Linked DNA regions of Saccharomyces cerevisiae S288C. The protein of the gene in region 4 interacts with the protein of the main gene of each other region in a biochemical or structural test. Each region holds a gene or a part of one and is shown on either strand. Other genes may lie near its edges.

What was found.
Region 1: the proteins of CDC6 (region 4) and MCM2 form a complex in vitro, tested with the Saccharomyces cerevisiae proteins (3 studies listed by BioGRID).
Region 2: of the proteins of CDC6 (region 4) and CDC14, one has a biochemical effect on the other in vitro, tested with the Saccharomyces cerevisiae proteins (3 studies listed by BioGRID).
Region 3: the proteins of CDC6 (region 4) and ORC4 form a complex in vitro, tested with the Saccharomyces cerevisiae proteins (3 studies listed by BioGRID).

Annotation. Positions count from the first base shown.
Region 1 is NC_001134.8:172,124-179,503, forward strand, and holds MCM2 (MCM DNA helicase complex subunit MCM2), read right to left. Parts: upstream 5,404-7,380; coding exon 2,797-5,403; downstream 1-2,796. Other genes in the region: NCL1 (tRNA (cytosine-C5-)-methyltransferase), read left to right, coding at 411-2,465; ATP-dependent Lon protease PIM1, read right to left, coding at 5,751-7,380. UniProt on the Saccharomyces cerevisiae protein: Acts as a component of the MCM2-7 complex (MCM complex) which is the putative replicative helicase essential for 'once per cell cycle' DNA replication initiation and elongation in eukaryotic cells.
Region 2 is NC_001138.5:207,913-211,784, forward strand, and holds CDC14 (phosphoprotein phosphatase CDC14), read right to left. Parts: upstream 2,157-3,872; coding exon 501-2,156; downstream 1-500. Other genes in the region: ECO1 (Eco1p), read left to right, coding at 1-385; PTR3 (Ptr3p), read left to right, coding at 3,025-3,872. UniProt on the Saccharomyces cerevisiae protein: Protein phosphatase which antagonizes mitotic cyclin-dependent kinase CDC28, the inactivation of which is essential for exit from mitosis. To access its substrates, is released from nucleolar sequestration during mitosis.
Region 3 is NC_001148.4:864,936-871,001, reverse strand, and holds ORC4 (origin recognition complex subunit 4), read left to right. Parts: upstream 1-2,697; coding exon 2,698-4,287; downstream 4,288-6,066. Other genes in the region: MMS1 (Mms1p), read right to left, coding at 1-299; TIF3 (Tif3p), read left to right, coding at 1,047-2,357; cyclin-dependent serine/threonine protein kinase SGV1, read left to right, coding at 4,580-6,066. UniProt on the Saccharomyces cerevisiae protein: Component of the origin recognition complex (ORC) that binds origins of replication. It has a role in both chromosomal replication and mating type transcriptional silencing. Binds to the ARS consensus sequence (ACS) of origins of replication.
Region 4 is NC_001142.9:66,432-72,708, reverse strand, and holds CDC6 (AAA family ATPase CDC6), read right to left. Parts: upstream 3,372-6,277; coding exon 1,830-3,371; downstream 1-1,829. Other genes in the region: YJL193W (uncharacterized protein), read right to left, coding at 135-1,343; fatty acid elongase ELO1, read left to right, coding at 3,927-4,859; putative ubiquitin-specific protease UBP12, read right to left, coding at 5,140-6,277. UniProt on the Saccharomyces cerevisiae protein: Plays a crucial role in forming the pre-replicative complexes.

The DNA.
Region 1 (7,380 bases), on a different chromosome or scaffold from region 4:
AGCGATTAGGAAGTAGTGAAGTAATTATGGCAAGTCTAGAGGTCCGGCTGATCCCTTGCGGTGCTGAAGTAACGAAACCGCGCGCATATCTTTTGGAAGAGATTAATTTGCACTGAATTTTCAAACTTAATTAGCGAGAAGAAGTAGATGCATTTCAATTATGCCAAAAGCAGTATTTATTACTTCTTATAGAATATAGTATCACTTACGCTCATTTAGTGTACCCACTTACGTATTAAATGACGTACTTTTTTTTTGTCCTCTTCTGTAGCTTTTTTTCACTTTGAAAAATTTAGCGCTGAGTTCTTCCAAAGACGTCAAATCACCTACTATAGTTAAAAACATATTACTTATACTAGTTCTAACACTTCCTTTTATCTACACTGTAATCCGAAGAATACACTATAAGGATGGCTAGAAGAAAGAATTTCAAAAAAGGGAACAAGAAGACTTTTGGTGCTCGTGATGACTCGAGAGCTCAAAAAAACTGGTCTGAACTGGTAAAGGAAAATGAAAAATGGGAAAAATACTATAAGACTTTAGCTCTTTTCCCAGAAGATCAATGGGAAGAATTTAAAAAGACATGTCAAGCTCCACTTCCTCTAACTTTTAGAATTACAGGTTCTAGAAAGCATGCCGGTGAGGTCCTGAATTTGTTTAAAGAAAGACATCTACCAAACTTGACTAATGTTGAGTTTGAAGGTGAGAAGATTAAGGCCCCTGTAGAATTACCTTGGTATCCAGACCATCTTGCTTGGCAATTGGACGTTCCTAAGACGGTTATTAGAAAGAATGAACAATTCGCAAAAACTCAGAGATTTTTAGTTGTTGAAAATGCCGTTGGTAATATCTCAAGACAAGAAGCCGTTTCAATGATTCCTCCAATCGTTCTAGAAGTAAAACCTCATCACACTGTTTTAGATATGTGTGCTGCTCCTGGCTCCAAAACTGCTCAATTAATCGAAGCCTTGCACAAGGATACAGATGAACCATCTGGTTTCGTTGTAGCTAATGATGCCGATGCCAGAAGATCTCATATGTTGGTTCACCAATTGAAGAGATTGAACAGTGCCAACTTGATGGTTGTCAACCATGACGCCCAATTCTTCCCACGTATCAGATTACATGGCAACTCAAATAACAAGAATGATGTTTTAAAATTTGACAGAATCCTGTGTGACGTTCCATGTTCTGGTGATGGTACCATGAGGAAAAATGTTAATGTTTGGAAAGACTGGAACACACAAGCAGGTCTTGGTTTGCATGCTGTTCAGCTGAATATATTAAACAGGGGTTTGCATCTTCTAAAGAACAACGGTAGATTGGTTTACTCAACCTGTTCTTTAAATCCTATTGAAAATGAAGCGGTTGTTGCCGAAGCGTTAAGAAAGTGGGGTGACAAGATTAGATTAGTTAACTGTGATGATAAGCTTCCTGGCCTAATAAGATCCAAGGGTGTATCCAAATGGCCTGTCTATGACAGAAATTTGACTGAGAAAACCAAAGGAGACGAAGGTACACTAGATAGTTTCTTTTCACCATCTGAAGAAGAGGCATCGAAATTCAATTTACAAAATTGTATGAGGGTTTATCCTCACCAACAAAACACAGGCGGATTTTTCATTACTGTTTTCGAAAAAGTCGAAGATAGCACTGAGGCGGCTACAGAGAAACTATCTTCTGAAACCCCAGCTCTAGAGTCTGAAGGACCTCAAACAAAGAAAATAAAGGTAGAAGAAGTCCAAAAGAAAGAAAGACTACCACGTGACGCGAACGAAGAGCCTTTTGTTTTCGTTGATCCACAGCACGAAGCTTTAAAAGTTTGTTGGGATTTCTACGGCATCGATAATATTTTCGACAGAAACACTTGTTTAGTGCGTAACGCCACTGGTGAACCAACAAGAGTGGTTTACACTGTGTGTCCAGCATTGAAGGATGTTATTCAAGCGAATGACGATAGGTTGAAGATTATTTATTCTGGTGTAAAATTGTTTGTCTCTCAAAGAAGTGATATCGAATGTTCATGGAGAATCCAAAGTGAATCATTGCCAATAATGAAACACCATATGAAATCTAATAGAATTGTTGAAGCTAATTTAGAGATGTTAAAACACTTGTTAATCGAATCTTTCCCTAACTTTGACGACATTCGTTCGAAGAACATCGATAATGATTTTGTTGAAAAGATGACAAAATTAAGCTCTGGTTGCGCCTTTATTGATGTGTCAAGAAATGACCCTGCCAAAGAAAACTTATTCTTGCCTGTGTGGAAAGGCAACAAGTGTATCAATTTGATGGTTTGTAAAGAAGATACTCATGAGCTATTATATAGGATCTTTGGTATTGATGCGAATGCCAAGGCTACTCCAAGCGCTGAAGAAAAAGAAAAAGAAAAAGAAACGACTGAATCTCCCGCAGAAACTACTACCGGAACCTCTACTGAAGCTCCTAGCGCTGCTAATTGATAGTTATCATGTTTCTTATCCCCTCCACTGTAAAGTAAATGTATATTATTAAAAGGCAAAAATAAGAATATAATACTTCAGTAATGAGCCTTTTTTATTCGGTCTTGTTACTTCTTTTTTACTTCATTTTTTTTTTTTTTTTTGGATAGTAAATAATGCACTTTTGACTAGATCTTGAGTATTTAGTTGAATTGAAATTAAAGATACAGTGTATAAAAATTATACAAAAAATAAAGGAAACTTGTATATTGAAAATAGGATTGCCAATACATGGATTGAGACAGAGAATTTTTTATCTTCATATCCAGATATTCGTAGGAATAACAAAGTTTTAGTGACCCAAGGTATAAATTGCGAAAGACCTGCGGAGTTGGCGGCGAACACTGACTTTTTGGGCATCAACAAAGGAATCAACTACAACTTTGATAGCTCTATCCAAATCATAAGAAGACACAAATTCAGATAATCTCATTTTAGCAAAAGATTCTGCAATTCTTAGAATAGATTCTAAATGACGAACTGTGATTGGAAACGAACCTGTAGAAATACTTTCTCTTCTCAAATCCGCATATACCCTGCTAACCTTATCCATATCCATCTGATGCAATTTAGGGTATATTTTTGTCCTCGCATAGTGAATATATTTCATCAATAATTCCTGTGGAATAGGCGAGATCTCTTCCTCCTTCTTCCTTTGTCTTTGAAGTCTTCTTTGCCTTGCATTAAGCTGCTCATTTATTTCATCTTCTCCTTGTTCTATCGCCGATTCGCCATTATTTTTAAGCTCTTCGCCTTCTCGATCTTCATCGTTTTCTGGATGAGATCTTACATGAGAATCGACAACAAATGTGGCCAATCTTTCGTCTGCCTCTTCATCAACAAGGTCTCTGACAACACATAAAATATCAAATCTAGACAGAATAGGCTCGGTCAAACTAACATTCTGAGCTAAAGGCAAGGTTGAATTATATCTACCACCATTAGGATTTGCCGCAGCAATAATTGAGCAGCGCGCTTGTAATGTAGTAACAATACCGGCCTTGGAAATGGAAATACTTTGCTGTTCCATAGCCTCATGAATAGATGTACGATCCTGATCGTTCATCTTATCGAATTCATCAATTAAACAAACACCCTTATCAGCCAATACTAGCGCCCCCCCTTCTAAGGTCCATTCTTTAGTAATAGGATCTTTTCTGACGGATGCTGTCAGACCGACAGCCGAAGCACCCTGACCAGTTGCAAAGACCGCTCTATGCGCTGTTTTCTCGACGTATTTTAAGATTTGAGATTTGGCAGTACCTGGATCACCTAATAATAACACATTGATATCACCACGAATAGAATGTTTTCCATTGACGTTTTTTGGAACACCTCCAAATAATGAGCACGCGACTGCAGTTTTAATATCTCTATGACCATAGATAGACGGTGCCATCGATGATATAATTTTATCAATTATACCACGATCCCTAGAAATCTTTCTAAATTCACGTTCTTCTTCTTCAGTCCAACTGAAAACATCCAACCCTTCTTCGCCTTCGTTAGCTGTATTGCCCTCTCTTCTTTTTATAGAATTTGCCTCGATAATTGTTGCAAAAACGGGGAATCCGTTCTTTGCATTCAAGTTACCATCGTAGTTATTTTTGTAGATGCCGGTAACTTCTACCTCTTCACCTGGCTTGGATACATCTACCAAATCCGCCAACAAAATGACTTCTCTATGTCTTGGTAGACGGCCTGGAGGAACGGTTCCGGGAGCTTCCTGGAGCGTAACCCTTTGATAATTTCGGTACACAGTTTTTTCTCCATTGACTCTAAAGGGACCTTTTGATTTGCAGTTTGTACAGAATGAGATTCTAATTTCTTCATTAGAATCTTGAAAAAATGGGCCCAAAATGGAGCCACATTTCAAACAATTGAATTTGACATATTTTAATTGAGGGAAGACTCCTGTTCTTCTTGTCACCACCCCAGTGACGCGTACTAGAGAGGACAAATTAGACTCACGCAATTCACGTAAACTGTATATTGTTGGAAAATCAGAGATTCTTACGTGAATTTCGGAGTGAATACGGGCATAATCTGGGTAATGCAATTCTGTTGCCTCCATAGCCACGAGATCGAATATTTTCAACATTTCTTCTGGACATTTAGCTAAAAATAGTGCCAGGATGGCTTTGGACTCCGCTAAGTGTCTATAATTAACCTCCAAAGATTCAGAATTCATTTCACCTAATGTTCTAATACGTGCACCATATACAGAACGACCCGTTTCATCTGTATATTCCAGCAGGAATGATTTTAACTCTCTGGCAATAGTTCTTGAGACATTAGGTTGTGTTATCCATTCCGAGTAACTGTTAGCCTTAACGTTACTCAGAGATTCTAAAGTAAGTTCTTCTCTTAATGGGTCAATGTCCATGTCACTCAATAGATCGTCATCACTATTCTCTAAGTCCTCATACTGCCTTCTCCTTCTTCGTCTTTGCACAGGAAGGCCCATTTCATCAAGTTGCGCTGCACCTTCTTGTTCTTCGTCCTCGTCATCTATGTAGGCAACATTTCTCAATAGCCTATCTCTTTCATTTAGTTGAGCATCAATGCGGCGACGTTCGCTTAAAGATAGTTCTTGTTGTTCCCTGTCGTCAACTTGATCTGGATCATATCTATCTCTATTATGATCAGCCGCATAATCCTCATACATATTATCGTCCATCAAATCTACTTCGTTCATTTGTTCTTCAACTTCATCAATATCTGGTACATCGTCAACTTCATTATCGTCACCTTCAGGGTTAATCATATCTGGAGAACCAATAGGTGATGAAACTGGGTTCATCCCCCCTCTAAAATGTTGCTGAGGTGAGGATGGCGGTAGCTCATTTTCTGAGTCCGAATCATCTTCCTCACGTCTACGTCTTCTATTATCAGACATCACTTATATTGTAGTTGTGTTATACTTCTTAGAAAAGAGGCAAAGAGGTGTGTGGAGTATTATTAAGTAAACTGTACCAAAATGTGTAGATTATAGGATATTCACCATTTACTTTCTGGTTTCGTTTCTCGAAATTTTTCGTTGTCCTATTTTCTTCGGTAAGTAATTAGATTTCCTAAAAAAGGCATATGATAAATAATATTACACGCGATTCCGCCATCTTGGGTTTCCCACATACATACTTCACGAAGAAAAGAAAGAATTTAGTATTGTGTAATAAAATTGATGTTTATGTTTAAATATTTACAGAATGTTTAAACAGGTATTTAATCCATTTAGATGAAAAGTTAGTCCTTTTCCTTTTTAGCATCCAAAATCTCAAATTCAGCCTTCCATACTGAATTACCTTCTTTCGTATTCACATCCTTGAATAATTTTTGGAATATATCATTATACCAATCAGCAGCTAAAGGTTCCAACCCTTCCTTTACATTGTCTGGAAGTTCCTCCCAATCATTTAAGTTATCTTTAGGGAAAATAATAGTCTTGGCACCAGATCTTTTAGCGGCCACAGCTTTTTCTCTCAACCCACCGATACGTAAAACTTTACCGGTAAGTGTCAATTCACCGGTCATCGCAACCGTTGGGTCAATCGACTTATTCAATGCTAGGGAAAGGAAGGAAGTGGCCATAGTGACACCTGCAGATGGACCATCTTTAGGGGTAGCACCTTCAGGACAATGCAAGTGGATAGACGCCTTTTCAAAAAATCTGTTCTCAGGGAATTTTTGTGCTAAATACATCTTGGCGAATGAATAAGCAAGCCTTGATGATTCCTTCATAACATCTCCCAGTTGCCCGGTCCTTTCAAATGTTGGATGCTTGCAGTTGTGTAAAGGTTGTTCAAGGACAGATTCTACATAAAGTGAGCAACCTCCCATATTAGTCCACGCCAACCCCATAACTACCCCTGGTGGAGTTGTTTCGTATAACCGGTCTGTAGTGTAGACTGGAGGCCCAACGTAATCTTTTAGGTTTTTCTGGGATATGGAAACATTGATCTTTTCAGAGGTCTTTAAGGCTTCAATGTCATCGCTTGTCTTTTCCGAATTATTGTCCTTAGTCTTCTCCGATGAGCTTTTGGCGTTATTTTCCGCCTTTTCTTCGGAAGAAACGCTTTCTTTAGGCTTGCTGTCGGCTGATGACGTTGGGGAATCTTCAATACTCAACTTCTTTACCACTTGTAGGGCTGCTTTACGGTATATTTTCTCGATGTGTTTTTTCAAATTCCTTACACCACTTTCTCTACAGTAGTACTTCATTAACGCTGTTATTGCATCTTCTGTCATATCAACATGAGAGTTTTCTAGACCAGCGCTTTTCTTGGCACTTGGAACTAAATACTGCTCGGCAATCTTAACCTTGTCTTCAGCAACATATCCTGTCAACTCAATGACTTCCATACGATCCAGTAAAGGTCTTGGAATAGTTTCCAAAGAGTTAGCAGTGCAAACGAAAAGCACTTTTGATAAGTCAATAGGAATATCCAAGTAGTTATCCAAGAAGCTGTTGTTTTGTTCAGGGTCCAATACTTCTAACAATGCCGCGGACGGATCGCCGTGTATGCCGCCGTGTCCAATCTTATCGATTTCATCTATCAAAATCAAAGGATTTTGAGTTTGGCACTTCTTTAATGCTTGAACTACTCTGCCAGGTAAGGCACCAATATACGTTCTCCTATGACCTTTTATTTCTGCCACGTCCGTCATACCGCCTACAGAAAATCGGAAGAATTTCCTGTTAAGAGCTCTAGCGATAGATTTACCTATGGACGTTTTACCAACACCTGGGGGTCCTACGAAACATATGATTTTACCATCGACTTTACCCAATAGTTTACCGACGGCAATAAACTCCAAGATACGATCCTTGACATCTACCATACCATAATGATCTTCATCTAAAATTTTCTTTGCT
Region 2 (3,872 bases), on a different chromosome or scaffold from region 4:
CACAGAAGAAAAAGGCAAAGCGTTTGTATACATAAGAAATGACAGGGCGGTCGGAATAATAATTATAGAGAACCTTTATGGGGGCAATGGTAAAACATCTAGTCGTGGACGTTGGATGGTTTATGATTCTAGAAGATTGGTACAGAATGTGTACCCCGATTTTAAGATTGGCATATCGAGAATTTGGGTGTGCAGGACAGCAAGGAAGTTGGGTATCGCAACCAAATTGATTGACGTTGCAAGAGAAAATATTGTTTACGGTGAAGTTATTCCTAGGTACCAGGTAGCATGGTCGCAACCCACAGACAGCGGTGGAAAACTGGCTAGCAAATACAACGGCATTATGCATAAATCAGGCAAGTTACTATTGCCGGTATACATATGACTCTTTCGAAAAGACAGCGAGAAGGGACACTGGAAAAATGGCATAAAACTTTTCAAGGTTATTATTAGTAAGTTTTTTTATTATATGATATATATATATATAAAAATGAAATAAATTATTTCTTGATGGAGCCACTTATTTTTCTTATACCACCGGCGGCGCTTGTAGTCCTTCTCCCTGACGTTACTCTCCTATTCTTGGGCAATAGTTGTCTTAGTATGGTATCATCTGCGGCATTATTGATGTTCGTTGCGCTGGGTTCGTTATCTTCCATTCGGGACGATGAAGCAGAGGAGATATCATTTTTCTTGCGCGAAACTTTGGGATAATGATTACTTGTGCCGTTGGTATCCTGCATGGATTCGTCATCTGAGTTGTTGCTTTCTATTACTACCTTCCTATTCGCATGGGAAGTTGGATTACGATTATTGTTGATATCTTCTATAGTATTAGAACCGTTTTGGCCCTTTCTCGGCTGACCAGGCGAAGTCTGTGGGACGGCTGAGCTCTTGAATGAATTACTTCCATTATTCGCCGTAGAAGGTTGGCTCGAATTTCTGGCACTAAGCGCCCCATGACCGTTGGATGGCGGCGTCATGGTTAAATCTCTTAATTCACCTTCAATGTTATTTTGCGCAACCCTCTTGTCGTCTTTAAGTTTCTTTTTTTGTAAGCGGTATTCTTCTAAACTTATTAAGGGATATAAGCCGCCAATGGCCTCACTAGGCTTCAAAGAAATTCTGGTTGTGTACTTCCATTCTCTAAAATCATTCTGGTGTAAATATAACCAATGCTGTTGAGGGCCAACGACCATTCCCGGCCTTATAAACCTTAAGAAGCCAATACACTCGTTAGCGGTAAATCCATACGTGTATATTAAGTGAGCACCAATTAAACAACCAGTTCTACCTAGCCCAGCCTTACAGTGCACAGCAATTTTACCTCCCCTTTTAATTATCGTTTCAGCAGCACCAACAAAGTTTTTTACAATGGAAAGATCAGGACATGTACCATCTTCGAAAATTAGATCCAAATGTTGAATGCCAATGTCTTCAAAATGCTTTTTATTATATAAATGAGAATTCAACCTTACCACTAATTGGACGTTATTGTTGGCGAAAAAATTCAGAACTGACTTAAACGGCTGGTTCAAATGTGAAGATTTGGTAGCGAGATAGCCCTTTGGATGGTCCTCTTGTGGTGACGCAAATGCAATAAAATCTGGGGTGAGTACATTGAAGTCTCCAAACTCCACGTGTTCGTATTTCTCGTAACTCTCCAAATTGAAGGAATGCAAATCAATAAGGCCTTTTTCCTTAGCCCTCCAAACGCCATAAACCACATCTTGAATTGTGATTTCGAAATCCGCATTAGAATAACCGGCATCTCTAAATGGCATGAAGGGAGGGTCTACTTGCGCCAACGGCTGAAGCACTTGATGCGGAGTCCATGCCTGAACGAGGATCATATAACAGCAAAGCATACATGCGGCGTTAGCACGTTGTCTGGTCGATGCAGATGAATAGAAAACAACGGCTTTATTGGCATTTTCTGGGTCATTCAAGATTTCATGGAAAATAACGGCAAAACGATATAGATGTCCAATGTTCATGGGACCGAAATCCAAATGGAAACTGTTGTAAAAGATTGCGTCCTCCACGGTAAAAAACACCAGCTCATCAGTATCTTCCGGCGTGTAATCATATGCACCGAGATATACTCTGCCTCGCAGGAACTCGATCGTGTTGTCGAGGTATACACTCCTACGCATTTTTTTTTTTTTTTTATAAGCGTACTTTGTAGTCCCAGCCTCTGTGCAATTGTTTCGTATTATACCTCGAACGAATCGGAAATATTTGGTACATTATTGTTTCAATTTCAATTTGTTTACCTTTGAACCAAGTGAAGAAAAACTTATGGTGCTAAAAGTACATTCCCCGTTGAAAGTGATACAGCTTTCTTGATTGACACAATAGCAATGGCCTTCAAATGCATATCTCTACTATCGGCTAAAAAACGAATGACTCACGTTATCAGGCTCATAGCTTGTGTGTGTGTGTGTGTGTGTGTGTGTGTGTGTGTGTGTGTGTGTGTGTGTGTGTGTGTGTGATTGTTGTTCTAGTCGCTTGCTTTATAAAGTAACGACACTTTCTGGTGCCAATATGTGAAAACGCATTACAGAAAAAAACAGTTGTATTCTACTAAAAACACATCAGTAGTCACAGAAGTCACAGAAGTCACGTATATAAGCTAGTGGCAATCATAACTAACACAGGTGTATTAATGAAAAAATAAAGCCAAAAAAATTTCAGAAAAAAATATCTCCCGGGGGCGAGTCGAACGCCCGATCTCAAGATTTCGTAGTGGTAAATTACAGTCTTGCGCCTTAAACCAACTTGGCTACCGAGAGTCGTTTTTGTTGATTACTTTGCTATATAAAGATTCCTTTATCATTATTTCATGAGGCGCACTTTTGATTTTCACACCTTTTTCAAGCGGAGGAGTTATTCGTCTTATTAACATTACCATTACAGTAGTCATCAATGATTACCTTATCAGCACTGAAAAGATACCCGTAAAATTTAGCACACGCACACTCACACATACATAGGTACGAAATACACAACTGATAGGCGTTCATGCACTCTCATAGACAAAAGTGGGGCCGCCAGACGGATATAGCGAGGGTGCTCGACGATATAGAACACGACCTCTATCTACCGCAACGGCTATCACTCGATGGTGCAACTGGTACTGACGAATCACATGTGCAATACGGTATAGTCAAAGACTGCTCTGTGCTTACGTGTGGCTGCTGTATATCTGAATCGCTATTCAATGATTTATGCAGGGAAACTTCGAACAAGCAAACTGCGTGTCCCATCTGTCAGCGAGAAAATGTTCGACTACTTTCAGCCATCAAGCCGCTGCGAGATTTGGCTCGTCAGATTGACTTCTTCAGAAGTACTACCGGACAGGGCGAAAGCGAAAGCGATGAGCTCCCCGCTATAGTAAAGACTTCACCATCATCATCATCACTATCGCTAACGCCATCGCGCTCTTCCTCCACTGCTGGGCTAGAAGCTGATAACAAGACACTATCAGACCCTACAGTTAAGGAGAAATCATCACTGCTCGAACTCTTCCATATTGTGGCTTCGAAGATGCATAATGCGAATACAGAGGTAGGGTCGGACCACCCACTCACGACTGGCACCACCCGTGATCAAGAAGAACACACCACTAAGGAGAATTACTCAAGCAGCTTACTCGAGCCCAACTATGACGACCACGCGAACTGGAAAATCCTGGATAATGCCTCGAACACAAGAACTGTGCCGATAGATAACAACTTCTCTTTGATGTCTACGGACGTTACAATACCTTCCACAGCAAACTACCAAACAAATAGTGCACATGATCTGGACGAAGAAAAGGAGTACTTTTTTGCCAACTGTTTCCCCATGTACAGAAAAAAATTTCAGTT
Region 3 (6,066 bases), on a different chromosome or scaffold from region 4:
ATTGGATAACAAAATTGAGGCATTTGACCAATATTCGAATCGTGATATCTGAGCATCATCATTGATGGTTCTAGCTTTGGCCCTACACAAGGTCTCACCCAAGTTTCATCCTCGGTATTTTGATAAAAAAGCTCAGGTTCATTCCACTCACGTGTGGTGCTTGAATCAATTAATAAATTGGGGGAAACTCGGAATGACTTATGATTCAACCAATCTTGCAGCTCAAGTTTGCCAAAATCCGACGGGCGACGAATATAATGTTCATACCTGTCTAAACCATGAGTTCGCAAACCTAGCATACCTAATTGACACCGTACTACTTTAATTAGACCCAGAAACGAAACGGAATGTGAAGCGATTTCTTCTCTTCTTCCAATTCTTTTGCAGAGCCCATCTCTGGCAAAGGGCCATTTGTTGGAAATCACTCTAACATGGCTTCTGTTTCCCGATAATATGCGGGTAATGCCTCGCACTTCCTTTGGTTTTGAATTTATGCTATTCTCTTTCTTTGCACATCTAACTTGAAGTGATTAGTACCAGATTGAGCTCAGCTTCTCAAAATTATTTCGAACATATCAATTTAGTTTGTAAGTCATAAAAATCGATATTTTTTGCTTTTTCCTTTTTTCCTAAATCTTCTTGACTGCTTGCAATCTTTGTATCTTCATCTTTCCTTTCTCATGTTTCCAAATTTAGCCTGTATATTCATAGAGACTTCTTAAAGTAAATTTTGGCAGGATAATAGGGTACTGAAATCTATGTTGCTTTTTATATCCTGGCGCTACTTAGCCGCCCAACCTTTTTGTCTTCTTGTCTTTTTTTCTTTTTGGCTTTATTTCTCATCAGATCACGCACCACGGAATGAAAATTTTTTTGCGGAAATCAGCATCGCTAAAGAAAAGCAGAAATAGAAGCAGAAGAGATAGATATAACTACAGAGTTAGAGAAGATCAGTAGACCAATAAGCGGGATTATCATAAAACTCGAGTTTATATTAGCTTTCATCTGTCTTTAGGAAAATAATACCATAATAAAAAGGACACATCATGGCTCCACCAAAGAAAACCGTAAAGAAGATGGACCTTACGTCATTTTTAAATGATGACACCTTTGGTTCATCTTGGGCTGAAGAAGATGTCGATTTGAATAAGATCACAATTCCTATTGAAACCGCTAATGCAAACACTATTCCATTGTCCGAATTGGCTCATGCTAAAAACAACAGCAATAACACGCGTTCAGGCGGCTTTGGTGGCAGTTTTGGAGGTAGATCTAGATTAGACCCTGCTTTGGGGGGCGGTTCTTCCGATAGAAGAGAGGAATACCCTGTTCCAGATGCTCCACCATATAGGGCTGTCATAAACAACATTCCATGGGATATTACCCCAGAGGGTGTTCAAGCCTGGGTTGAAGATGGTTTAGTTAAGCCTGAAGCGGTTGAAGAAGTTGTTTTGCCAAAGAATCTAAGAGACCCAACAAGATTAAAGGGTAATGCTTTCGTTACTTTGAAAGAAAGAGCAGATTTGGTCGCCGTTCTGAAGTTCAACGGTACTAAATTGAATGAGAGAACTGTTTACGTTTCTGTTGCGGCTCCAAGAAGAGGGGGAGGTGCAGATGTTGATTGGAGTAGTGCTAGAGGCTCCAATTTCCAAGGTGATGGAAGAGAAGATGCACCAGATCTTGATTGGGGTGCCGCTAGAGGTTCTAACTTCAGAGGTCCAAGAAGAGAAAGAGAAGAAGTTGATATTGACTGGACTGCTGCAAGAGGTTCCAATTTCCAAGGCTCTTCCAGACCACCAAGAAGAGAAAGAGAAGAAGTTGATATCGACTGGAGCGCTGCAAGAGGCTCCAATTTCCAAGGCTCTTCCAGACCACCAAGAAGAGAAAGAGAAGAGCCAGATATTGACTGGAGTGCAGCTAGAGGCTCTAACTTTCAAAGCTCCTCGAGGCCACCAAGAAGAGAAAGAGAAGAGCCAGATATTGACTGGAGTGCAGCCAGAGGTTCCAACTTCCAAAGCTCCTCAAGACCACCAAGAAGAGAAAGAGAAAAGGAAGAACCAGCTTTGGATTGGGGTGCTGCCAGAGGTGCTCAGTTTGGTAAGCCTCAACAAACCAAAAATACCTACAAGGATAGGTCTCTAACTAACAAAAAGACTACTGATGAGCAACCAAAAATCCAGAAGTCTGTTTATGATGTTTTACGTACTGAAGATGATGATGAAGATGAAGAGGCTGAAAAGCAAAATGGAGACGCAAAAGAAAACAAAGTTGATGCGGCAGTTGAAAAGCTACAGGATAAAACTGCTCAATTGACTGTTGAAGATGGTGACAATTGGGAAGTTGTTGGTAAGAAATAGAGTGTTGTATGATGATAAAATGTACATTTGTATTTACTGTTTGCTTTTTTTCTTTCTTGTTTTTCTACTCTCCTTTCTACCAGGTATTCTAACTCTATTATATAATTAAAAAAAAAATAACCATATATTTTGTATTAAGTTTCATACATGTGTTCAAGTGTATTTTTGGATTTATCATTTTTCTATGTGAGGTAAGTTTTTGAATGTCCCATTTTCCTTTCGTTTTTGGAAAGTTCTAAGAAAAAGCATTAACAATTAAAAAAAAAAAAAAAATCTAAATAATACTGATAGAAATATCAAATATAAACTACTAATATCGGTAATATTCAAAAGAAGAAGCATGACTATAAGCGAAGCTCGTCTATCACCGCAAGTCAATCTTCTCCCAATAAAGAGGCACTCAAACGAAGAGGTAGAGGAGACTGCAGCGATTCTAAAAAAGCGTACTATAGATAATGAAAAGTGTAAAGACAGCGACCCTGGTTTTGGTTCCCTTCAAAGAAGGTTACTGCAGCAACTTTATGGCACACTTCCTACGGACGAAAAGATAATCTTCACATATTTACAAGATTGTCAACAAGAGATCGATAGAATCATTAAACAATCCATTATTCAGAAAGAGAGTCATTCAGTAATTCTCGTGGGGCCCAGACAAAGTTACAAAACATACTTATTAGACTATGAACTGTCTTTGTTGCAACAATCTTATAAAGAGCAGTTTATAACTATCAGGTTGAATGGGTTTATTCACTCCGAACAAACAGCTATTAACGGTATAGCAACTCAATTGGAACAGCAGTTGCAGAAAATTCATGGCAGTGAAGAAAAAATTGACGATACTTCATTAGAGACTATTAGCAGTGGTTCTTTGACAGAAGTGTTTGAGAAAATTCTTTTACTCTTAGATTCGACCACGAAGACAAGAAATGAAGATAGTGGTGAGGTTGACAGAGAGAGTATAACAAAGATAACAGTTGTTTTTATATTCGATGAAATTGATACATTTGCTGGGCCTGTGAGGCAAACTTTATTATACAATCTTTTTGACATGGTAGAACATTCTCGGGTACCTGTTTGCATTTTTGGCTGCACAACGAAATTAAATATCTTGGAATATTTAGAAAAGAGGGTAAAGAGTAGATTTTCTCAAAGAGTGATTTATATGCCGCAAATACAGAATCTAGACGATATGGTTGACGCCGTCAGAAATTTACTTACAGTTCGCTCTGAAATCTCCCCCTGGGTTTCACAATGGAATGAAACGTTGGAAAAAGAACTATCCGACCCTCGATCGAATTTGAATAGACATATTAGGATGAATTTCGAAACCTTTAGGTCATTACCTACATTGAAAAATAGCATAATTCCATTAGTAGCGACATCCAAAAATTTTGGTTCACTCTGCACTGCCATAAAATCGTGTTCTTTTCTTGACATATACAATAAGAACCAACTATCTAATAATTTAACAGGAAGGCTCCAATCTTTATCCGATTTAGAGTTAGCCATTTTGATCTCAGCCGCTAGGGTTGCCTTAAGGGCGAAAGACGGATCTTTTAATTTTAATTTAGCTTATGCAGAGTATGAAAAGATGATTAAAGCTATCAACTCCAGAATTCCCACCGTGGCTCCTACTACAAATGTGGGAACAGGTCAAAGTACTTTTTCTATCGACAATACTATCAAACTATGGTTGAAAAAGGACGTCAAGAACGTTTGGGAAAATTTAGTGCAACTGGATTTTTTTACCGAGAAATCAGCCGTTGGTTTGAGAGATAATGCGACCGCAGCATTTTACGCTAGCAATTATCAATTTCAGGGCACCATGATCCCGTTTGACTTGAGAAGTTACCAGATGCAGATCATTCTTCAGGAATTAAGAAGAATTATCCCCAAATCTAATATGTACTACTCCTGGACACAACTGTGAATCTTGGGAACAATATACAGACATTTTATTGGCGGTAGCAACTCTGATATTCCACTGTTCAGCTTTCCTAATAAGTAAGTTCAAGATTATGTGGTCATCGCGTCGAACGGAAATACACCCATACACCAAACCTCTGTGAATTTGAAAAATTCACATATGCATTTAATAGAGCATAGGCAATGTAGAGAGAGAAATTAACAATGGTGAAAAGAAATATTACCAAACACCAGCAAAAGAAATTGTATAGTATTAGCAGTACATTCGTGGTCAAGCAGAATAACAGTAAAATAATATGAGTGATAATGGTTCCCCCGCGGTTCTTCCAAAAACCGAATTTAATAAATACAAAATCGGCAAAGTGAAGAGTACACCAGCCATCCAGCGAGATGCGAAGACTAACTTAACATACATCAAACTAAGAAAAAGAAGTAGTGAGAAAGTTTACGGGTGTACAGTTTTCCAGAATCATTATCGTGAGGATGAAAAATTAGGACAAGGAACATTTGGTGAGGTTTATAAGGGAATTCATTTAGAGACTCAAAGACAAGTGGCAATGAAAAAAATTATAGTTAGCGTTGAAAAAGATCTGTTTCCTATAACTGCACAACGAGAAATTACTATTTTAAAGCGTTTAAACCACAAAAATATTATTAAACTAATCGAAATGGTGTATGACCATTCACCGGATATTACAAATGCGGCATCCAGCAACCTACATAAGTCATTCTACATGATCCTGCCGTATATGGTAGCAGATCTGTCGGGCGTTTTGCATAATCCGAGAATCAACTTAGAGATGTGCGATATAAAGAATATGATGCTACAAATATTAGAAGGCCTAAATTATATTCATTGTGCAAAATTCATGCATAGGGATATAAAGACAGCAAATATTTTGATTGACCACAACGGTGTTTTAAAGCTTGCTGATTTTGGTTTAGCAAGATTATATTATGGCTGTCCTCCAAACTTAAAGTATCCTGGTGGTGCAGGTTCCGGCGCCAAATATACATCAGTAGTCGTAACGAGATGGTATAGAGCACCTGAGTTGGTGCTTGGTGATAAACAGTATACAACAGCTGTTGATATATGGGGTGTCGGATGCGTTTTCGCAGAATTTTTTGAGAAAAAACCTATTTTACAGGGAAAAACGGATATTGATCAGGGACATGTTATTTTCAAACTACTTGGTACACCGACAGAAGAAGATTGGGCCGTGGCTAGATATTTGCCAGGTGCTGAACTAACAACAACTAATTACAAGCCAACGTTGAGGGAAAGATTTGGTAAATATCTAAGTGAAACAGGTCTAGATTTTTTAGGACAGTTGTTAGCGTTAGATCCTTACAAGAGGTTGACCGCTATGTCTGCTAAACACCATCCTTGGTTTAAAGAGGACCCTTTACCATCAGAGAAGATAACATTACCGACGGAAGAAAGTCATGAAGCTGATATTAAGAGGTACAAGGAAGAAATGCACCAATCATTGTCCCAAAGAGTACCTACTGCGCCAAGAGGTCATATAGTTGAAAAGGGTGAATCACCTGTCGTGAAAAATCTTGGGGCGATCCCAAGAGGCCCCAAGAAAGATGACGCAAGTTTTTTGCCTCCATCAAAGAACGTATTGGCTAAGCCGCCTCCTTCGAAAATAAGAGAACTACATCAAAATCCTAGACCGTATCATGTGAACAGCGGATATGCTAAAACTGCGATTCCACCGCCAGCAGCCCCTGCAGGAGTTAATAGATACGGACCCAACAATAGTTCCAGAAATAATCG
Region 4 (6,277 bases):
GTGACTATTATGTGTTGATAAAGATTCTATTATTATATGTAAATTTTATGTATGGTACAGATAAGTAAATTCAAAACACCCGTATTTCCTAAAGGGAATAAATATTATTTGCATTTATATTCTATCATGTTAAACTACTCAGGACGTATTTTCGCTTTTATTTTCGATTGTGATGTGCATCTTTCATAAAGGAATAACCCTAATGTGTTCAGAACCAAACCGAACACTTGCAGCCAAGTAATTCTTCTTCCAATAAAGACCCAACTAACCGCAATAATGGCAAAGCGCTTCATCAGATTCGCTATTGAATATGTTAAAGTTGAGACCTCACCCAGTAAATGAAATGTAATCATTGCCTGAATGAAGTGGAATGTCCCGTTCAGTAAAAATAAAGAGACTGGAAAAGCTTTTATTACTGTAGAAGAGCTGTTAATTTGAAAAAAATACCTAAATAGTACAGGAAATTCTAGAGTGATAAACCAGCCAAACGATAAACAAAATCCAACAAGGGAAATATAAATCATTAAAGTCAATTTGTCATATGATTTAGGTTTCTTTTTCGCAACAAGTTTCTCATCCAACTTTTCATATAAGGGTAAAGGTGATTCTTGCCGTGAGAATCCAGAATTACTTTGAGATTCATCTGTTTGAGATCTGTACGTGAACACGGTCTTGCCATATATATTTTGCAAGACAAAAATGAACATTGATATCATAGCGCATATTACGCCGTATTTAGAGAATTCTCTCAGCTCATTGGAAGAGGCCGGTGAACGATTATCTTCTTGAACTATAATCCAAACTCCAAGAACTAAAGTGCATAAACTAAAGATAAGAGTTAAAGTAATTTTCAAAGTGGATATTTTCAAAATCTTTTGGAGCAAAAGGATAAACATGGGGGATAGCGTTTTTATACTTGCAACCGTGGAAACAGGCACCAAAGAGGTAGCTGTATGCCCAAAATATTTCCCTACAAATTGGAAAAGACCTAAAGGTAGAACTGTTTGCAGGATTGGTTTAGAGGGCGGTATAATGAGGGAGGATAGTTTTGATTCTTTCCTAGCTGCACGGCTAGTTTCTCTGTCGTCGATATAATATTCCGGAAAAGTACCATTAGGAAATATGCGATAGAATCCTGGGAAACTATATGCAATATAACACGTAAACCATGCTAGCACAGCAGTATAAATGAACTGAAACTCACCCAAAAAAAGTGGTAATGGGCAAACCGTTAGTACCTGCTTCGTTACCTGAGATGCCAACGATGAAATAAAATACCAACTTATGCATAAAAAAATTATGTGTGCATTGTGCCTAATGGATGCCGACAGCTGTTGAAACATCGTTTTCCCCTTTTTCTTCGAGTTCCTTCATTATTATAGAAGGCATATGTCACACCGTGCCAATTTATTTGTTTGCATTTTTTTTTTTTCACCTTTCCGACAGGCGCCATTGTTATCACATTAGCAGAGTGAATTGGTTGCGATTTGAAAGAGAAAATGTATCAAAAACAAACAATTGTACCCCACCTCCCCCTAACAATCATCCATTCTGCATCCAGTAGCTAATGATAGTAAAATATTTGTACAAATTACGTTTTATTGTGTCTTTTTTGCAATTTCTTTGAATGCAATGTTGCGTATATCATTGCATCTCAGCCAAACGGTTTAACCGTTTCCAGAAAAAAAAAGTCTATAATATGCTATGCTGTTACAACTATAATAGAATTTTTATATAGTGATATGCTTTTCTATAAAAAAAGGAATGTGAAAAATGAGGGATGCAAGTGGAACTGTAAAAAAAAAAGAAAAAATAAATCTATTAGCTGACTAGTGAAGGAAAGGTTTCAAAATTGAAATTTTGGTCATCTCATCATAAAATTCTCGCATGTCGAGATCAACATCAATCTTATCAACAAATCTCTTGGTTTTCCCTTTACACTTTGTCTTTTTGATTGAAACCAGCCCACAAGTTTCTAAAATTGTACAGATTTCCAAAAATTCATTTCTCTGCAATGGTGCTAAAGTATCAGTTTTTGTTATCGCTTTGATATAATGATCAAACGATTCGTCGATTGTAGCATCGGAATTTAGCTTCAGTGATTGAATTATGGTGCAAAGAATTAATTTTTGCTGGATGTTTAGTTTGGCTATCCTCGTTCTCGTAGAATTATTGTTCACGAATTTTGAGAAGACCTTGGCTATGTAGTTCAAGCCTATTTTACCTTGTGGTTCTGGATACGATTTCTTTACCGGAGAAGTAGTTGGCGTCAAAGGAACTTGCGCAGAGTTCAATGATCCTCTTGTTGGTGAAAGCAGAAACCGCTTTTCTAACTCATAGATTTCGATACTTCCCCTTAAGACATCAAAAAGTTTTCGAAGGTCACCCGTATTTCCAGCACACTTCTTTGCTGCGAATTTGATGGCCATCGGTTGGAAGATAATAGTGGGCAGACTACTCATTTTTTGAATGACGATTTCATACATTTGCTCAGCAGTGTATGGCTGAAAAACTATAGTTTGCGGTAACAACCCTCTGTCCAAATTTAACCTGGAAAGAAACCTATCTTTCATATCTAGACTATTAGCCATACCGATTAACACAAAACTCACAGTAGGCAATTTCGCCAAAAGGAATAATTCAAGAATAGTTCTAACTGATTGTGTCTCGCTCGTGTTAGCATGCAATAGCCTGTCCATCTCGTCCAACACAACCACAAACGTAGTTTTCTTATGATAAGGCTCTAAGAACTTCTGTAGATGCTGCATGTTTTTTATTTGCAATGTTGGGCCATTCAGATCTTGGAAGGAATCGAAAATCTTCTGGAAAATGGAGGACGGCTCTCCCAACGATATACAATTAATACTGGTTACCGCCACGGATTCTAGCCTTCCATCGGGCAATTCAAACCAGGACAAATTCTGCAAGTTCGGATTCGTATGTCTCAGCACGTCCTTCGAGCGTGGCGTGGAGAGCGACAATGGGAGGGACTGGAACTTCTGTCTTATAATCATATCAAGCTGGGCAGTCTTGCCAGTGCCAGGCGGACCCGTGATGTACAGTGAATCGGACCTGTGTTCAGAAATTGCCTTCGCCAAAAAATTCATAACTTGTTCGTACTCTGCTGTTCTTGCTGGCAATGCACCATCGCTGCTATTCAAGTTGACTAGCTCAGATGACTTCTGCAAAAGTGCCTTTGTCCTCAAAAAAATAGACTGTGAGCCAAACTGCAGTTTTTCTGGGGATGATTCTGGTGTAACATCTGTGAACTGCAACTTTTTTCTTTTCAAAGGTCGTGGAGGCGTTGCTGGAGCATCGTCAAATAGATTTCTTCTGATACGCTTAGTTGGAGTTATTGGTATAGCTGACATGAACGTATATGGTACTATTGATGAAAATAGTGCAGCGCAGTGTTCTGAATATTCCAAAATTGTTCTTCCAGAGAATATACCTCTACTATATAAATGAAAAAATAGACTAACTAATACTATTTTTCAAGATGGCGTTATATCTTTTCTGCCAGCCAACTCAATTTCCTAAGTGGGTAATTTCCTGATCTGGAAACTCCGACGCGTGAGGCCTCGCGTCGCTTTCTTCTTTGGGTAATTCAGGGAAAACAAAGGAATGCAGACTAGCAACTAGTTTCAAAACACAACAAATCGCAAGCCAGACATATTTTGTTGAAACTACAGATATTTCTGCTGCTTTTATTACCTTGCACTTACGTGACGTGACGAAATATTAGTTCTAAACTCAGGGTCTTGGCTTACCCGCGTCGGCTTTACGGATTAGTAAACCGAAGGACATAAGGGAAAGAAAGGAAGCCAGAAAAAGAGGTAGAAGTATATAAGACTAACTGATATGAATATTAAGGTAGGATACCTTATCAATTTTAAGGAACTTGAGAGCTAAATTTGCAAGCAAGTATGGTAAGTGATTGGAAAAATTTTTGCCTCGAGAAAGCCTCTAGGTTTCGCCCAACAATAGATAGGCCTTTTTTTAATATTTATTTGTGGGACTATTTCAATCGTGCGGTTGGGTGGGCCACTGCAGGTCGCTTCCAGCCAAAGGATTTTGAGTTTACCGTTGGGAAGCAGCCTTTGAGTGAACCTCGTCCGGTACTGCTTTTTATTGCCATGTATTATGTGGTTATATTTGGCGGGAGGTCCCTGGTAAAGTCATGTAAACCTCTCAAGTTGAGATTTATTTCTCAAGTCCATAACTTGATGTTGACTTCTGTTTCCTTTTTATGGTTGATTTTGATGGTGGAACAGATGCTACCCATAGTGTATCGCCATGGGCTGTATTTTGCTGTTTGTAATGTTGAATCGTGGACGCAACCGATGGAGACATTATATTATCTCAACTATATGACAAAGTTTGTGGAGTTCGCAGACACTGTCTTGATGGTGTTGAAACATAGAAAGTTGACTTTCCTACATACATACCATCATGGTGCTACAGCTTTACTGTGCTATAATCAATTGGTTGGTTACACAGCAGTTACATGGGTTCCTGTCACCTTAAACTTAGCTGTTCACGTTCTTATGTATTGGTATTATTTCCTTTCTGCTAGCGGAATTCGTGTTTGGTGGAAAGCCTGGGTTACAAGACTACAAATTGTGCAGTTCATGCTTGATCTCATTGTCGTTTATTACGTGCTTTATCAGAAGATTGTTGCTGCATATTTCAAAAATGCTTGTACTCCACAGTGTGAGGATTGCTTAGGTTCAATGACGGCTATTGCTGCTGGTGCAGCCATTCTTACATCCTACTTGTTTTTGTTCATCTCTTTCTATATTGAGGTTTACAAACGTGGAAGTGCTAGTGGTAAGAAGAAGATCAACAAAAACAATTAACCAGTCCTTCTGTTTTGTTTTTTTCTGTTTTTCTTCCTATCTTGTATTTGACTTATATATAGACTGTTTTATTCGAAATAATCATTTTGCTTCGTTTATGTAATTTTTGTATTCATAAGCCAGTATTTTCTCTTCTTTTTTATTTTTTTTTTGGAATGTCGCGCCCAGGACAAAAACATATAATTTATTAGCCTAGGCAGTAAATAGTAGGCGAAAAAGATTGAAAAGTATTATACATGTGGAAATTTATTAATTTTATCTATCATATAAACTCATGTCATTATTCTGGCGATTCTAGTGTCACACCATTTTTTAAATTCAAATCAGCGACTTCGTTTTCTGGGCATCCCTCAGATATTTCAGACGTACTCGATGAACCCAAGCCTGAATTATTCTTGTAGACTTTTTTCAACAATCTTAACTTTCTCCTACCTGAATTTGTCCTCTCACCATCATCATTGTCATCTTCGTCGTTGCAGTCCTGAGTTTCAATATGCCCAACCTCCAAACTACGATTACTATATTCAGGGGCCTGCACATCTTCATTACATTCTATCATATCATCAGAAACATCTTCCTCCTCGTCAGTCTTATTAAATTCATACAACTTCATCTGTTCATCGTATATCTTTTTGATACGCTCATCATATCCGTGGCGTGACTTTTGGATTATTTCCTGTAGTTTAGAGCTGCCTAATCCATTGCCATCTTTATGACGGCGAATGTAAAATAGCAAATAAGCCGATCCAGCTATACTATTTTCTGGCGCAGTTTCAGTTACTCGAGAATCATCAAAATAGTACCATTTATTGTCGGCAAAATTCTTTACGTACGCGGTATAGTGCCCACCACCCAAACCACCATAGTGGTTATCTACTGCATACAGGTCATAGATTAAACCTCTGGGATCATCTTTATAGACAACGTACCTCGACAGATCCAAATCTGTAATGGGGAAATTAACCGTGGCATCAATTTTATCGCTAAAAGACCTTTGACTTTCAAACCTTTTAAGGTGAATTAGCAGAATATCTGGTGTATTCCAAAGTTGTATTTGTTTGGTAGCCTGACGATGTTCCTTGCATGTAGGGCAGTACCACGAATCGGTTAATCCTAGTATTTCTGGTTTGGAAAATAATTGGAGACAATCGTCCAAGGTTATGGTTCTTTCCTTAGCGTTAGATCTTTCCAACTTAGCGTTCTCCAACTCTTTGTTAGGCAAAGTAGCTGGATTTTCCCAGTTATATATTTTATCATCGGAAAATGCCTCATTTGAACCCAATTCGCTCCACTCACAAACAATAATATCATTCATAGAAAGAATCGCAAACGGAGTGGAAGTCAAGCTATCCTTAATTTTATCTAACGCCTCTGGCTTATCTGTTAATTCTGGCTCTGTACTTGCATCTTCTTCAACA